Yarrowia lipolytica: one gene and its partners. The protein of the gene in region 3 purifies or fractionates together with the protein of the main gene of each other region. This does not show direct contact. Links are inferred from orthologs where the notes say so. Each region holds a gene or a part of one and is shown on either strand. Other genes may lie near its edges.

Evidence for each region. Proteins that work in one complex are often made in the same cells at the same time.
Region 1: the proteins of YALI1_C30119g (region 3) and YALI1_F04895g purify together in Saccharomyces cerevisiae (affinity purification with mass spectrometry; 6 studies listed by BioGRID). This does not show direct contact. The link is inferred for Yarrowia lipolytica from reciprocal best matches to the Saccharomyces cerevisiae genes SEC27 and SEC21.
Region 2: the proteins of YALI1_C30119g (region 3) and YALI1_E38593g purify together in Saccharomyces cerevisiae (affinity purification with mass spectrometry; 6 studies listed by BioGRID). This does not show direct contact. The link is inferred for Yarrowia lipolytica from reciprocal best matches to the Saccharomyces cerevisiae genes SEC27 and RET2.

What each region holds. Positions count from the first base shown.
Region 1 is NC_090775.1:486,659-492,703, reverse strand, and holds YALI1_F04895g (uncharacterized protein), read left to right. Parts: upstream 1-2,474; coding exon 2,475-3,081; intron 3,082-3,127; coding exon 3,128-5,247; downstream 5,248-6,045. Other genes in the region: YALI1_F04920g (uncharacterized protein), read left to right, coding at 609-1,184. UniProt on the Saccharomyces cerevisiae protein: The coatomer is a cytosolic protein complex that binds to dilysine motifs and reversibly associates with Golgi non-clathrin-coated vesicles, which further mediate biosynthetic protein transport from the ER, via the Golgi up to the trans Golgi network.
Region 2 is NC_090774.1:3,857,392-3,861,535, reverse strand, and holds YALI1_E38593g (uncharacterized protein), read left to right. Parts: upstream 1-2,191; coding exon 2,192-3,346; downstream 3,347-4,144. Other genes in the region: YALI1_E38608g (uncharacterized protein), read right to left, coding at 1-683; YALI1_E38561g (uncharacterized protein), read right to left, coding at 3,748-4,144. UniProt on the Saccharomyces cerevisiae protein: The coatomer is a cytosolic protein complex that binds to dilysine motifs and reversibly associates with Golgi non-clathrin-coated vesicles, which further mediate biosynthetic protein transport from the ER, via the Golgi up to the trans Golgi network.
Region 3 is NC_090772.1:3,008,628-3,014,115, reverse strand, and holds YALI1_C30119g (uncharacterized protein), read left to right. Parts: upstream 1-2,119; coding exon 2,120-4,405; downstream 4,406-5,488. Other genes in the region: YALI1_C30130g (uncharacterized protein), read right to left, coding at 7-560, 1,033-1,051; YALI1_C30086g (uncharacterized protein), read left to right, coding at 4,985-5,032, 5,465-5,488. UniProt on the Saccharomyces cerevisiae protein: The coatomer is a cytosolic protein complex that binds to dilysine motifs and reversibly associates with Golgi non-clathrin-coated vesicles, which further mediate biosynthetic protein transport from the ER, via the Golgi up to the trans Golgi network.

The DNA of each region.
Region 1 (6,045 bases), on a different chromosome or scaffold from region 3:
CTCAGAGAAGCGACTTCAAACAACCAACCTACTTTCAACCAAACTACACTTATGCCCAGAGTCCTTCAATCGCTCACGGCTCCCGTCCCAGTCGCCACTCGATTGGGTCGCCCACTGAACTCCACCAGAGGTTTCTGCCATCCAGTGGTTATCAGCCTACCGCTGGATCTTCTCAGAAGTCGTCCCCCCTACAGACTGGCTACATTGACGGTCTATATTCGACCAAGGCCTCATCCCGGCCTTCTGAATCCCATTACCCTTTCAGCCCAGACCACTATCAGGGAATCCAGCTGGACGAGAATGGCCGAGTTGTGGGAACAAGCCTGTCATTAACAACTCCTCCAACTCCCTCTGGCCCAAGCTACCAGGGCGATTTCCAAAAATACTCACATCAGGAGACTCCTGCGCATCTCCCCTTTGAGCCACAGTCGTCTTCGCTGACCCGGCCCTATCAGTCCCGACACTCGAGTCTGGGCCTTGGACAGCCTGTCAGCTATCTACAGAGTCTTTCCTCGGCTCAATCTCAGAGTCGCAAACGTCACTCTCTACCCGCTCCCTCTGTCGCCCCCCTGCCTGAGGATGGAGGCCCCATTCCGGACGGAAAAGTAATGGACGACCCACACGCCATTGACGCTCACGATCTTTTCTGGGCCAAGACAATCACACCCGAGTTCCACAGTGTCGTCGAGCGGAAACGAAAGGAGAACAAGATCGACAGCTACAATCCCTTTGCAACATTCAACCAGTGGAACGCTTGTGCTGTTTACGAGCGCAAAAACAAGCACACTCTGCCACAGTACAAGGTGCGCAAGCTGGCGGACGGCACTCGCGGCATTTTGAAGTACGCCGTTGAGAGCAAGGTCCCTGAGCACCTGCGGTGTCTTCCCTCTTCGGAGTTGCTGAACTCGTGCTATGATTGTGGACAGAGAGGGGAACATGCTGCGACCTGCGAGTTCCATCGCGAGGTTGGCGATGAGAGTTATGTTCCCGTCAGTGGCGATCCTGAGAATCGGAAGCGGAGGTGCGTGGGAGGTGGGGGCAGCAACACTTTTGCTGCAGATTACAACTACAAAGACCCATCTGAGAACAAGGAGGACCACTTTGTGACCAAAGCCTGGGACACAGTCAAGTGGAATGTGGTGAAGCGGCCGATTATGGCGATGCGGGCGAGAAGAAGGCGATAGAACTAGGAGGGTGGGGGGAAGACCGAACTATGATCGAGAGAGCGATCAATTTCAGCCCATAGAACTATCCGTAGCGACTGCGGCAACTACGCGTCATGATGAGTGATACGGGGTGGGGTCGTTAATGTTTTGCTGCAGTTGAGCTCTGTGCTGAATGTGATGGTATTCAGTGAAGTATCTTCATAATTAATGGGGTATATATAAAGTGTGTGTTTTAGGGGCGGTTTCAGTGGTATATACCTGTTTCTATCAGAAGCAGTCTTTGCTTGTTGATGGTAAATATGGATAGTTAAAATAAAAAATAAAAAAACAATAGAGACTTGTTGGTTGTGTCTACCTTATGTTTTTTTTCGCCGTAGTCTCAGAACTGTCTCAGAACTGAGTCTGTACAACAGTTGGATCAGGTGGGTGAAAAGATGGTCGATTGACTGGATGTTGGTGATTGGTGATGATCACGTCTTTGAGACTCTACTGTGAAATTTACAGCTCATTTTGATCAAAACTGGTTGGTTTTGCATCACATGAGTGCGCAGGAGTTTTGATAGTTGCAGGAGAGGAGGTGAATGGGGAGAGGTTGGAGAATGTGGTTGATTTTTCCGAGAGTCTCAGAAATTTGGCGGCATGTTTAGATCGTTGAGATTTTTGTGATTTTTCCAATTTTTTCCCTTTTTTTTTTCTGATTTTTCCTCATTTTCTCCATTTTTCCCCATTTTTTCCGATTATACACCCATGAACGTCCTGTTCCACATCTCCAATATTTCACCACCGGGTCTCGAAACTTTATTTACGCCGTACAATAAATTAGGGTGTTTTGGCGCGATGGAGGATCGGTTTAAATGGTAATTCTGGGGAGATAGAAATCCGCAAAATTATTACTTTCAAAGACAATGTTGTGTTATATTTAATGTAATTTTTCCCACATTTTTCCCCATTTTTTTCACTTTTTCAGGGTCTATTTCAACTTCTACCTGTATAACCGTATAACCGCACGTCGGATGTACTGTACTTGTACATAGAGCCAGATCAGAGGGCTCAGAAAAGGCGCTCGCTGGGTGTAAAAAGCAGAAAAAAATGGGTTAAACACATATTATAGCGATTTCATATTTCTTTTCCTTGCCCAATTTATTTTGCCGTCCAAAAAAGTGCCCTTTTTCGACCCACAGCTCCGGCACCACTCCTCCCATCCATTCCACCTATCCTACCCTAACCCTAACGAAAGAAACACGTCAGATACAGTTGTTACACCGACACACAGCACACATACATTGTCATCCTACACCACTCCCCACAATGTCAGCGCTCAGCTACAAGAAAAACGACGACATTGAGTCGGGCGCGCTGGACAAGATGACCGTGTACCAGGAGTGTCAGCGGGCGTTTGCCGAGTCGCCCATCAACGCGCGAAAGTGCCGAAAGCTGCTGGCCAAGCTGATCCACCTGCTCACCATCGGCGAGACCTTCAGTGAGTTTGAGGCCACGGGTCTGTTCATCGCCGTGTCCAAGCTGTTCCCCCATAAGGACCCGTCGCTGCGGCAGATTGTGTATCTGGCCATCAAGGAGCTGGTGCCTCTGTCCAACAACGACGTGATTATGGTCACCTCGTCCATCACCCGAGACGTGCAGGGCTCGTCGGACCTGATCTACAAACCCAATGCCATCCGAGCACTGGCGCGGGTCATTGACGGCTCGTTTGTGCAGGGCATTGAGCGGCTGATGAAAACGGCCATTGTCGACCGTCACACCTCCGTGTCGTCGGCCGCCCTCGTGTCGGCCTACCACCTGCTCCCCATCGCCAAGGACACCATTCGCCGATGGGCCGCCGAGGTCCAGGAGGCGGTCACGTCGCAGAAGAACTTCCCGGCGGGTGACCCCTGCCCAACTACGCCCCGGCCCCGCCGTGCTGGCCCCCTACCACGCCCTGTCGCTGCTGTACGAGCTGCGAGCACACGACCGAATGGCCCTCATCAAGCTCATCCAGCAGTTCTCCGGCGCCTCGGCCCACCTGCAGTCGCCCAACGCCAATGTCATGCTCATCCGATTCATCGCCAAGGCTGCCAACGACGGTGCCCACCGGCAACAGCTCGTGGCCCTCCTGGAACGATATCTCGGCCACAAATCCGACATGGTCGCCCTCGAGGCCGCCAAGGCCGTGCTCACCCTCCGAGACGTGAGCCCTAAGGAGGCCGCCTCCGCCATTGAGTCGCTGCGGGCCTTCCTGGCGTCTCCTCGAACCATTGCCCGGTTTGCAGCCATCCGAATCCTCAACCGGTTCGCGATGACCAACCCCGGCGCCGTGGCCGTGTGCAACGCGGAGATCCAGCCCTTGATCACCGACTCTAACCGGTCCATCGCCACCTACGCCATCACGGCGCTGCTCAAGACCGGCAATGAGGCCTCCGTCGACAAGCTGGTCACCCAGATCAGCGGGTTCATGTCCGACATCACCGACGAATTCCGAATTGTGGTCATCGATGCTGTCCGGTCGCTAGCGCTTAAGTTCCACGCTAAAAAGTCTACCATGCTGCAGTTCTTTGGCAACACCCTTCGGAACGATGGTGGCAGTGCCCAATACAAGGCTGCCGTGGTTGCCGCGCTGTTTGACATGATCCGGTACGTGCCCGACTGCAGAGACACCGCCCTCGGCATTCTGTGCGAGTTCATCGAGGACTGCGAGTACACCGAGATTGTTGTTTCCGTCTTGCATACTCTCGGACAGGAGGGCCCTGCCGCCGCCAACCCCACAGTGTACATTCGGTACATCTACAACCGAATCGTGCTTGAAAACGCTTTCATTCGAGCAGCTGCTGTCTCTGCACTGGCCAAGTTCGCGCTGGTGGATGACACCTCTGTCAAGAAGTCCGTCAAGGTGCTGCTGGAGCGATCTCTGGAGGATGAGACCGACGAGGTGCGAGACCGAGCTGTCATTGCGCTCAAGCTGCTCGAGTCTGGTGACCAGGCCCAGGCCAAGGCATACATTTCGCCCGAGTCGCGATTCTCTCTCCCCATTCTGGAGCACAAGCTGGCTCTGTATGTGACTGGGTCCGGTGCCGACTTTGACACGCCCTTTGACATGTCCTCTGTGCCTCTCATCACCGACCAGGAGGCCCGAGAGGCTGCTCTCAAGGCACACAGAGAGACCACCGAGGCCACCCCTGTGGTCAACGGCGGAGCTGGAGGACCCACCCCTGCTTCTGCGGCTGCTGCCACCACCGCCAACCTGGCGTCCAAGAGCAATTCTCACGAGGCCGCTATCCAGCGTGCCGAGAAGTACGCTGCCGAGCTGGCCGCTATTCCCGATCTGGCAGCCTTTGGCACTCCTCTCAAGTCTTCTCTTGCGGTGGCTCTCACCGAGTCCGAGACTGAGTTTGTCGTGACTGCCATCAAACACATTTTCCCCAGCCACGTGGTGCTGCAGTACGACGTGCACAACACGCTTCCCGACGCACAGCTCAGCAACGTGTCAGTGGTGGCGTCTATTGAGGACGACAGCGAGGAGCTGGTGGAGGAGTTCATTCTTCCTGTGGACGAGCTTGGTCCCGATTCTCACGGCACCGTCTACGTGGCCCTCGAGAAGACCGAGGACCATCTTGCTGTTGCATCGTTTGAGAACATTCTCAAGTTCACTCTCCATGACATCAACAAGACCACCGGCGAGGTGTCTGAGGACGGCGACGAGGACGAGTACCAGATTGAGAACCTGGTGCTGGGTGCTGGCGACTACCTCGAGGGTGGCTTCATCGGCTCGTTTGACCACCTGTGGGACGAGCTGGCCAACACCGAGGCGGTTGACACTGCCACTCTGTCCGAATACAAGGGTCTGGAGGAAGCTGTCCAGTTTCTCATTTCACAGCTGTCTCTCACTCCTCTGGAGTCGTCTGATGAGGTCACCTCGGCTTCCACACATACTCTGAAGCTGTTTGGAAAGACTCTGACTGGCGAGAAGGTGATTGTGCAGATCAAGATGGCCGCCTCGCAGCGAACAGGAGTTGTGGTGCAGTGCAAGGCTAGATCGGGTGATGAGGAAGTGGCCGAGTTGGTTGCTGGATTTGTGGGCTCGTTGTAAGTGCGTCTTTGTTAATGAGCGAACAGGCCAGATAAGTGGCCTTTGGTTAGTAAGATATATAGTGAAGGATTATTGCAAGTTTGGTGTAGTAGGTGTGATTGGGCTCTGTGGATGATGATGGCTAGAACGTCCACGTGAAGGGCTGAGGAGCATGCTTTAGGAGGATGATTCAGCTAGGGAACCTGCTCAAAAGGATGATTCATTGTTTCTATCCAATTCAAGTCCATTTCAACTGATTCTATCACGATTCAAGTTGTTTTTATCACGATTTAATGTGATTCTGTAATGTCACTCTGATAAGACCAATATTCCGCGAATTGGAGTTGTCCGAGTGAGATGCAGTTGAAAACTATTAGAGGCTTCTGGGCATGACTAGAATCCGATACCACCTTAGTAAAGTGTATTCGACATACTCTTAATCTGTAGTCTCAGGAAGCGAGAACAGTTCAAACTGACTTCAGCTTGTGACACCAATTAACCACATCCACACACAAACACCACGCCGAATTGGAGACAGAACATGATTGCGTCCGCCGCTTTGTTGTGTTTGTGTTGTTGGATTTGGGGCGAGTGATGTGAAGGAAGAAGAGTCGAAAAGCGCGAGGTGGGTGTTAAAGTAGAGTCGCCATAGTGTGGTAATGATGACTGGTCATATATGCATGTTTCCAAGTAAAGTTAAGTAAAAAGGGAGGACATTTTTTTTGCTATTATGGCTACGGAATGGAATTTTTGTATGACAAGAATGATAATTTATTACATGTTTTCATAGTCCTCGTTTCCAGCTACATTTCTATACAA
Region 2 (4,144 bases), on a different chromosome or scaffold from region 3:
GCGGTTCCAGAAACAGCCCGTCGGTGCGTGGTGGCGTTGTGGTTTGTCGCTGGAGGAGGGTTCATGATTCGCTTGTTGGCATCCTCCAGCTCTTGATCCCGGATCGCCAGTTTCTTTCTGGTGTGTTCCAGCTCCTCTGTCAGATCCTTTATCTCTTCCTTGGCCCGGTGGTGCTCTCCAATCAGCACATCCTTGGCTGCTAGTTCAGCTTCCAGGATTGCCACGTTCTCCAATGCTTCATTGTAGCGAGTCTGAATATCTTCCAGGGTGGAGCATGTGATTCGTTCCCGTTGTTCAATGTCGTCGTTGGCGTTCTCCGTTTCTCTCAGCCGTTCCTTCACCAGCTTGTGGGCGTCCCGTAGACTGCTCACTTCTCTTTGTAGAGCCTGTTGTGTAGAGGCTGCCTCCTTATGGGCGTCCAGAGCCTTCTTTCTCCATTCCGTAACCTCGGATTCAAGTGCGCTAATTCTGTCCTCTAGTTTGGCCTGTCGCTTATCACTTTCAGCCAGTTCCTGCTCCAGTTCGAGTTCCAGCTCCTTGGATGACTCCTGAAACTCCGTCAGCTCGTGTTCCAGCTGCTGGATCTGCTCTTTGGCCTGGAGGTACTGGTTGTATGCAATCACCTCGAGGTGTGCCTTGGAGTTGGGCGTCAAAGGCGACGCAGGAGTGTCGATATCGGTCATGGTGTGTTCTGATCTGCTGTGAGTGCGTGTCTGCGCCTATGAAGCGGTTCCTGGGGGTGTGGTGAAGCTTCCGAGTCGGTCCGGACTACGCACGGGCGTGTAGTGTGCTCTTACAGTCTATAGCCAGTGTTAGAATGCTCCCTGTGAGCGTGTTGAGGTTGGCTATTTTCAATGTTTTGTTCTGGAGATGAAATTAAACCCAAGTAAATACATAGAGTTGCAGCGTGCATATGACGTGGAGATATTATTGTTCCAGGGTGTATGGCGCAGATGGGATGGTGGTGGGATGGTGGTGGGATGATAAAAAACAACAGGTGAGGTGAAGCGAGTGGGGTTTTATAGAGGGGTTTCAGTCGCTTTTAAGCCCTATAACACTTCTAGTGGTGTGGCGGTTACTGGGCACCGTATTTGGTTGTCCCTACTATACTGAGTATGTATGTAAGTATTTGTTTTACTTGTCGCTAATCTGAAAGAAATTAAGGACTCGCTCCCTTTAATGAAACAAGCCCATGTGATGAGGGTGCCCCTAAATGGAGAGAGCTGATAGCCGACATATGAAAGGAATCACACTATAAGAAAGCGTGACTCCCGCGCCACAGAACAAAGTGCTGTACCAGTAGCTGTGTAACATGGAGAGGACAGTACGTACGGTGTGATTAACTCGTTCCAGACCACTCTCCACGACACTTCAGTGTCTAGAGTTAACGGAGAGTTACGACAATCTCAACTTGACGCGTTTACTGGATGACGACTTGGAAATATGGAGTATCAACACTCCAAGAACGCTCAGAATAGATTGTCAAATCCGTTTGTTCGACAAATACGCGTACTGGTGTCATACCTGTGTCCTTCAAATACACTCCTTCTTGTTACGGCAACATTTGCCTGTCACCCTCCCATACTCCCATCGGTACTCCCAGCCGCACAAGTTGAGCTTAAACACGTGACTCCTAACCTCTGTGGGCGAACCCAGTGTTTCTGTCAATATTCCAACCTCGAACTCTAACAAGGACAACACATCAGCACACCAGCACACATCACGATCAAAGGAGGAAAATGGTAAGCAATTGGACGGATCCGAATCGCTCGCGCATATACTAACACAGGTCGTTTTAGCCGCATCCATATGCTCACGTGGCGGCAAAGCCATCATCTCGCGTCAATTCCGAGATCTGCCCAAAGAGAAGGTCGCCGGACTGCTGGCCATCTTCCCCAAGCTCATCCAGGGCTCCAAACAACACACAACCGTGGAGCACGACAATGTTCGATACGTTTACCAGCCACTGGAGGAGCTGTACGTGGTTTTGATCACCAACCGTCAGTCCAACATTCTGCAGGACATTGAGACTCTGAGACTGCTAGTCCAGGTGGTCACTTCGTTGGTACGTGTCGTGGATGAGCGGGAGATTCTGCTGGCCGCATTCGACCTGCTCGGCGCCTTTGACGAGGTGGTGTCCCAGGGCTACCGGGAAAACCTGTCTCTGCAGCAGATCCAGACGTTTTTGGAAATGGAGTCCCACGAGGAGAAGATTCAGGAAATCATTGAGCGAAACAAGGAGCTGGAGGCCACCGAAGATCGAAAGCGAAAGGCCAAGCAGCTGGAGATGCAGCGAAAGGAGGCTGCCAAGCGAGGTCTGCCCGGAAACGCTGGAGGTCATGGATCTTTCCAGGCCCCCGCCTTCCAGGCCCCCGCTCCTTCGTTTGTGCAACCCGCTGCTGCTCCCGCACCTATCCCCGAGACAACCCACAAGCCCCGTGCTCCTCGAGGAAAGGGCATGCAGCTCGGCAAGAAGAAGGGCGGATTCGATGACAGCCCCTCTGCTTCTCTGCTGGCTAACGCTGACATCGCCGTGCCCACCCCCAAGTCAAAGCCGCAGCAGCAGACTGCCCCCGCAGCAGCAGCTCCCTCTGCCTACAATCCCGAGGTCCAGGGCGTTCATCTCACTGTCGCCGAGGTTGTCACCGCGACTCTCGGTCGAGACGGCTCTGTTAAGAGCGCTGAGGTCAAGGGAGACGTACAGCTGAGAATCGGCAACCCCGACCACACAAAGATCCGAATCGCGCTCGAGGCTAACGCCCCCGGCGTCAAGTACCGAACCCATCCCAACGTGGACAAGGCGCTGTTCTCCTCGCGCCAGATCATCGGTCTCAAGGACCCCTCTCGAGGCTTCCCCTCTAACGGCGCTGCTCTCGGCGTCCTGAGATACTCTGCTAACGCACCGGAAGAGGCTGTTCCTCTGACCTTCAACTGCTGGTTTGCGAAGTCGGACCCCGGCTTCTACGACGTGACCCTGGAGTACGAGGTCTCTGAGGGTTTCACCGGCAAGATGACCAACGTGTCTGTCATTGTGCCTCTGGTCTCCTCCAACGCTCACATCTCCGACTCCTCCATCACCTGGGACCAGTTCGACGACCATCTCGAGTGGATCATTCCTGAGATCACTGCTGATGGTGACACCTCTACCGGTGCCTTTGAGTTCACCGCTGAGGCCGACCAGGAGGACGAGTTCTTCCCCATGGAGGTTTCCTTCACTCTCAACGACCCTGAGACCACAGTGGGCAACGTCAAGATTCTCAACGTCTTCTCTGCCACTGCCGAGGACGAAAACATCCCCTACCAAGAGGTGACCCGAGTGACGTCGGACAACTACCAGATTGTTTAAGGAGGAACAACTACTAGGTAGCATGTATAAGTAGGTTGTATGGAGCTGTTATTGGAACAACGAGTACAAGTAGGTTGAGTGTAAATTGGCCGTATTACTGGAGCAATATGTGACAAAGTAGATTTGGTATCATGTGTTTCCTGTGTCTGTGTCACTGTTGGGTATTGTACTCGTACCTGCTGTAGTATTGTACATACTGTAGGTTGGGCAAGTAGGGAAGAAGCTGTCAGGCTATATTAAGACACACTTGTAGCTAAACTGGTGAAGATGTCTTGCTGTGTTTGTTGGAATAGATTACTTGGTATAACCACTATTAGTAGATATTATGAAGCTGTTTGAAGCGTTGAGAGAGACGAGAGAGAAAAAAGTTCCTTTATGTCAATGGTAATCCTGTTATGTCACTACAACTGCAAACTCAGCCCGGGAGTGGCGATTATGAAGTCGCAGCCAATGCTCTCAATCTTGGCCAGGCCGATTATATCCTCCAAAACCACTTTCCGAGGATCGTTTTCGGGATCCTCATTGTAAATATCCTCCTTTACGTGCGTGATAACAACAGGAAGACCCTTCAAGTGCAGATCTGGAGGCGGTTGGTGTGGATGATGTGCGTGTGTCTGAGGGATGCGTTTGGGGACCGGAATCGACACCTCCTCGTCCATGTTTTCCACGTCCAACTCGTTGGTCTCATGAAGTTCTTCCCATCCCACCATAGCATGGAAGTCCTCTTCACTGCCCTCCACCATTGATGCAAAGTACTTAAGTTCGGCAATCAGGTGGCGGGGGGAAAAGTGACCAAAG
Region 3 (5,488 bases):
TTCCCTCTAAACATACTGAGACAGCCATCGAATACCGTCTCCGTAGCCCTGCCGCATGACAATGGAGCACATGAAAATCTCGATGGGTCGGATGTTGCCTTCAAGAGGCACCTTGCCCTTACCGGTGGTCTGGTACAGTCCAAGGGCGTCCTTGAGCTCGAGCTCGGAAACGGCCTGGGGCATGTCGATCTTGTTTCCAAGAATCAAGAAGGGCACAGTCTTGAGCTGCTCAATGGCAAGCAGAGAGTCGAGCTCGGCCTTGGACTCGGCGAATCGAGTAGGGTCGGCGGCATCGACGAGGAAAACAATGCCGTTGACCTCGGGAAAGTAGTCCTTCCACACTCGTCGGGCCTGGATATGTCCACCGAGATCAAAGGTTGTGAATTTACAGTTGCCGATGGACAACTCCTCGGAGGTGGGGTGCACGGTGGGGTTAGAGACGGCCATTCGGTCGTTCTTGAGCATGTGCAGCAGGGTGGTCTTTCCGGCGTTATCGAGACCGAGGAAGAGCAGCTTGGCGTTCTTGTTCCATAGTCCGAGAGAGGACAGAACGTCGTAGACTAGGTTAGCAAAAGGGGGGCAAATCAAAAAGCGAGTGAAGCGAAATTGAGCGGCGATACGATAGCAGACTTGCTGTTTAAGCAGTACAATAACGGCACAGAGAGTTTGCTTGTGTTGAATACCACCGTATGACTGTTTAGGGTATAACAGCAGAGCAACCGTGTATCTTCAGGGGGTTGAGCAACCCTGAACGGCATCAAACCGCAACTTGATGAATGCAACAGGGGCAAAAAACGGCATCGGTACCTGTTTTTGAGTCTCTGGAACAGCCCTAAGTCGCCAGTCTCTGTTAACTGTGTTTTCACCTCCGGGATTTCAAGTCACGAAGCCCCCGTGTCGCTGTAGAGCTTGTCGTGTATCGTGTATCGCCACTTGATCTGATTTCTTTTTTTCCGCTAGCCTCCGCGTCTGTGTAACAAGTACACAAACACAAGCGACCAATCAGTGCCCCTGTATTCCATCCATACTCACACCAGTTGACAATCCACATGATTAGTAGTTGAAGAAGTAGGACAACGTGTGATGATAAGTTGGTGAGTGAGGTGGAATGTAGCAAAAAGGTTAAGCCGGCGGCTTCACGTGCATCCGACTGAGTCCAGGGTGGGGCTGACGCTTTGGTACTGGTATAGGAGGTGTTTGGGAGCAATAGAAGGTGCTGCAAAAGAGTATATATACTGTCCGTTTTTCCTCACATACAATTCTCTTCCTTTTTATCTCCACGCTTATCCTCTACAATCTCCCGTCATTGTGCAATCTCCTACCGATATGAATTTTGGCTGACACGTAAAACGGAAGCCAAAATCGTGCAGCACCAAGGTAAAAACCGTGGTCCTTTGGGGGTGTTGGGACATTACGTGTACATATTGTGGTGTGAGATCAATAGGCGAGCACGAGTACACTGTACATCAGGTGTGTGTGTAGACGTAATTGGTGCCAAAAGTTGTGGGACTTGGAAGTATTTATCTTGAGAGAGAACTGGAACATTCAGAGCAAGCTTCCTATTGTCCATTTATCATCTCTATTATACAATATTGTGTCCCCCGGAGATGTTTCTTTGAGCAGAGCATTTCCCAGCGCCATCACTCCTCCTACTTACCCTACCGAACACTACAAGTACACGTATGAAACTCTCTATTGCACTCTGCGTAGCACTACACCATGAAGCTCGAAATCAAGGTGAGTAATTGAGCGATTCACGCGGCCATGACGACGACTAACACAGCGACACTCGCAGACTCGTTCTGACCGAGTCAAGGGAATCGATTTCCACCCCACTGAGCCATGGTTACTCACCACTCTGTACTCGGGAGTGGCCCAGATCTGGAACTACGAGACACAGACGGTGGTCAAGAGCATCGAGGTGGCAGATGTTCCTCTTCGAGCCGGTCGGTTCATTGCCCGAAAAAACTGGATCATTGTTGGCTCCGACGACTTTATTGTGCGAGTCTTCAACTACAACACTGGAGCCAAGGAGGCCCAGTTTGAGGCCCACCCCGACTACATCCGTGTCATCACCGTTCATCCCACCCTGCCCTACGTGCTGACCGCCGGCGACGACATGTCCATCCGGCTGTGGAACTGGGACACAAACTGGACCATGGAGCGACAGTACCTGGGCCACAGCCACTACATCATGTACGTGGCCTTCAACCCCAAGGACACAAACACATTTGCCTCCGCATGTCTGGATCGAACCGTCAAGGTGTGGTCTCTGTCGGGCGCCTCCACCGTGTCGCGGCCCAACTTCACCCTCGAGGCCCATGCCACCGCCGGCGTCAACTTCGTCGAATACTATCCCGGTGCTGACAAGCCCTACCTCATCACATCTTCGGACGATAAGACCGTCAAGGTGTGGGACTACCAGACCAAGGCCTGCGTCGCCACCATGGAGGGCCACACTAACAACGTGTCCTTCGCTGTCTTCCATCCCGATCTGCCCGTCATCATCTCTGGTGCCGAGGACAATACCGTCAAGGTGTGGAACGCTAACACCTACCAGCTCGAGCAGACCCTCAACTACAGCTATGAGCGAGCCTGGTGTGTGGGTGTCAAGCGAGGCTCCAACCTCGTGGCTGTCGGTTTTGATGCCGGCGCGGTTGTCCTCCGTCTTGGTAAGGAGGACCCTGCCATCTCTCTGGACAGCTCTGGAAAGCTGGTGTGGAGCAAGCACGGAGAAGTCTATTCCGCTCAGGTTAAGGGCGAGGACGCCAAGGACGGCGAATCCCTTGCTCTGGTGCCCAAGGAGCTGGGATCCGTCGAGGTTTTCCCCACCTTCCTGCGACACTCCCCCAACGGCCGATTTGTGGCTGTTGTTGGTGACGGTGAGTACATCATCTACACCGCTCTGGCATGGCGAAACAAGGCTTACGGCTCCGGTCTGGACTTTGTTTGGGCCCAGGACTCCAGCGAGTACGCTGTGCTTGAGTCCCCCAGCTCCGTGCGAGTCTACAAGAACTTCAAGGAGCGGCCATTGGGCCATGTAGACCCCAATTTTTCCGTTGAGGGCATCTTCGGTGGTACCCTGCTCGGTGTGAAGGGTCATGGCTTTGTCGCCATGTACTCGTGGGAGACTGGCCAGCTGGTGCGACGAATTGACGTGGAGGGTGTCACCGGCGTGCACTGGTCTGACTCTGGCGAGCTGGTCGCCATCACCTCGGCCGACGCCTTCTACGTTCTGCGATACAACAAGGACGCGGTTGATGAGGCCGAGAACGTGGACGAGGACGGTGTGGAGGAGTCGTTTGAGCTGCTGCACGAAATTTCCGACTCCGTTCGGTCCGGAGAGTGGCTGCTCGACTGCTTCGTCTACACCTCGTCCGTCAACCGACTCAACTACCTGGTTGGCGGCGTCACATACACAGTCGCACATTTCGATAAGGCCAAGTACCTGCTTGGCTTTGTGTCCAAGGACTCGCGTATCTACCTGTGTGACAAGGATGTCAATGTGTCGTCGTACCGATTGTCTGTGCCTCTCGTTGAATACCAGACTGTTGTTCTGCGAGGCGACGTCGAGCTTGCGCAGTCGGACTTCCTCCCTGCAATCCCTGAGGAGGAGCTGTCTAAGGTGGCCAAGTTCCTGGAGGCCCAGGGCTTCAAGGAGCTTGCTTTGGAGGTGAGCACCGACGACGAGCACAAGTTTGATCTTGCCCTTGCACTTAACGACCTGTCCGTGGCCTCTGAGATTGCTGAGCGATCGCCTCAAGACCACCGATGGAAGCTGCTTGGAGACGCTGCCACTGCCGCCTGGAACTTCGACCTGGCCGAGAAGTGTTTCAAGTCTTCTTCCATCGCCGAGGTCGAGTCTCTGCTGCTGCTGTACTCGGCCACCGGAAACCGAGCCGGCATGGAGTGGGTGGCTGACAAGGCTGCCGATGCTGGCAAGTACAACGTTGCCTTCAACGCCCTGTGGTCCATCGGTGCCGTGAAGCAGTGTGTTGATCTGCTTAACAAGACTGGTCGACACTCGGAGGCTGCTCTCGTTGCTCTGTCGTACGGAAAGGGTAACGTGGAGAAGTCTGTAGGTCAGTGGAAGGCTTCCCTGGTCGCCAACGGTAAGGACAAGATTGCCGAGTCCATTTCTTCCCCCAGTGAAGAACCCGACAAGTTCCCTCAGGGCAACCTGATTGATTTTGAGGAGAAGCCCGCTGAGAAGGCTGCCGAACCCAAGCTGGGAGCTCCTGTCGAGATCAAGGAGGACGGCAAGGTCGAGGCCGTGACTAACGTGCAACCCGAGAAGCCCAACCCCGCGGCTGTGGATGAGTTATCCGAGACCGAGGCTGAGGCTGAGGTTGAGGTTGAGGTCAAGATGCAGGAGGAGGTTGATGAGGCTGCCAACACCTTGTAAGAGGGAATGCTAGAGGTGGACGTAGAAATAGGTCATGTTAAATAAATATCATTGTATAAGTAGATTGAGAGCATGGCACGAGCTGTTGCGGAGTACACCGTGGAAGTGGTGAGTTACATATTGTACATATTGTAGGAAGTATCCAGTGTACTTGTACTTGTACAGTATTGCACAGTGATTAAGTATCCAGGGGGGATATCCAGCTCCTTGTCCAGCTCGAGGTCGAAGAGTTTACTCTAAAACTACAGTATTTTTAGTTTAACTCCCAACAGTTTACTTGGATATCATGTCACGTTAAAGTGTGTAGAAGAGGTATGAATAGTCCAGTTGTCGAGATGGTGTAGAGAAATGGTTTGAGATGGTTGTTTTTGAATGTAGCAGTAATTTATATCATGTGACTGTTTGATCGTGCCTTTGTTTGTTATCACGCTGAGTAGATCTCTTTCAATGGTCTCATCGCTTACTAAACAAAGTTCCAAAGTCAGGGTTAGGAGGGCGTCCCTCCCACCAATCAAAATTTGGGTAACTCGGCTTGCAGTGACATCACAGCTTCTAACACACAACCAGACACACGACAAAATGGCTATTCCTTTTGAGGCATTGCTCCCTTACGGTATCATTTTTGGTGTAAGTATGAGACGGCGGCTTTGTGGCTCGAGCTATGGCTTTGGACTTGTGATTTGACCGGACAGGAGGTACACTACAAGACGACAGTTACAGGAGTGAATGCAGAAATTCTGGAGAGCGATTCGATACGAGAGTGGAGGTGCCACATTCCCTGGACGATTGATGAACGATGCTTGTGATACCAGCTATACCGGACCACTCCATTACTGTGGAAGGGAAGCTACAGTAAGTCTCTGACGTACAATGACTTTGACATGGTATTCCCAGCCGGCAGGGGATATGTCTGTATCACGCAGAATCCTTTGGAATCAGATCTCACATGTCTTCGCTTTTCCCTATTCTCTCAGACTGTTGTTTATTGCCTCGGAGTAGTTCGATCCCGTCAAGGTCGCGAGGCACACGACCACAACCCCCATTCATAGACTAACTCAGCTCCTCACCGCTGGAGGTGGAGCC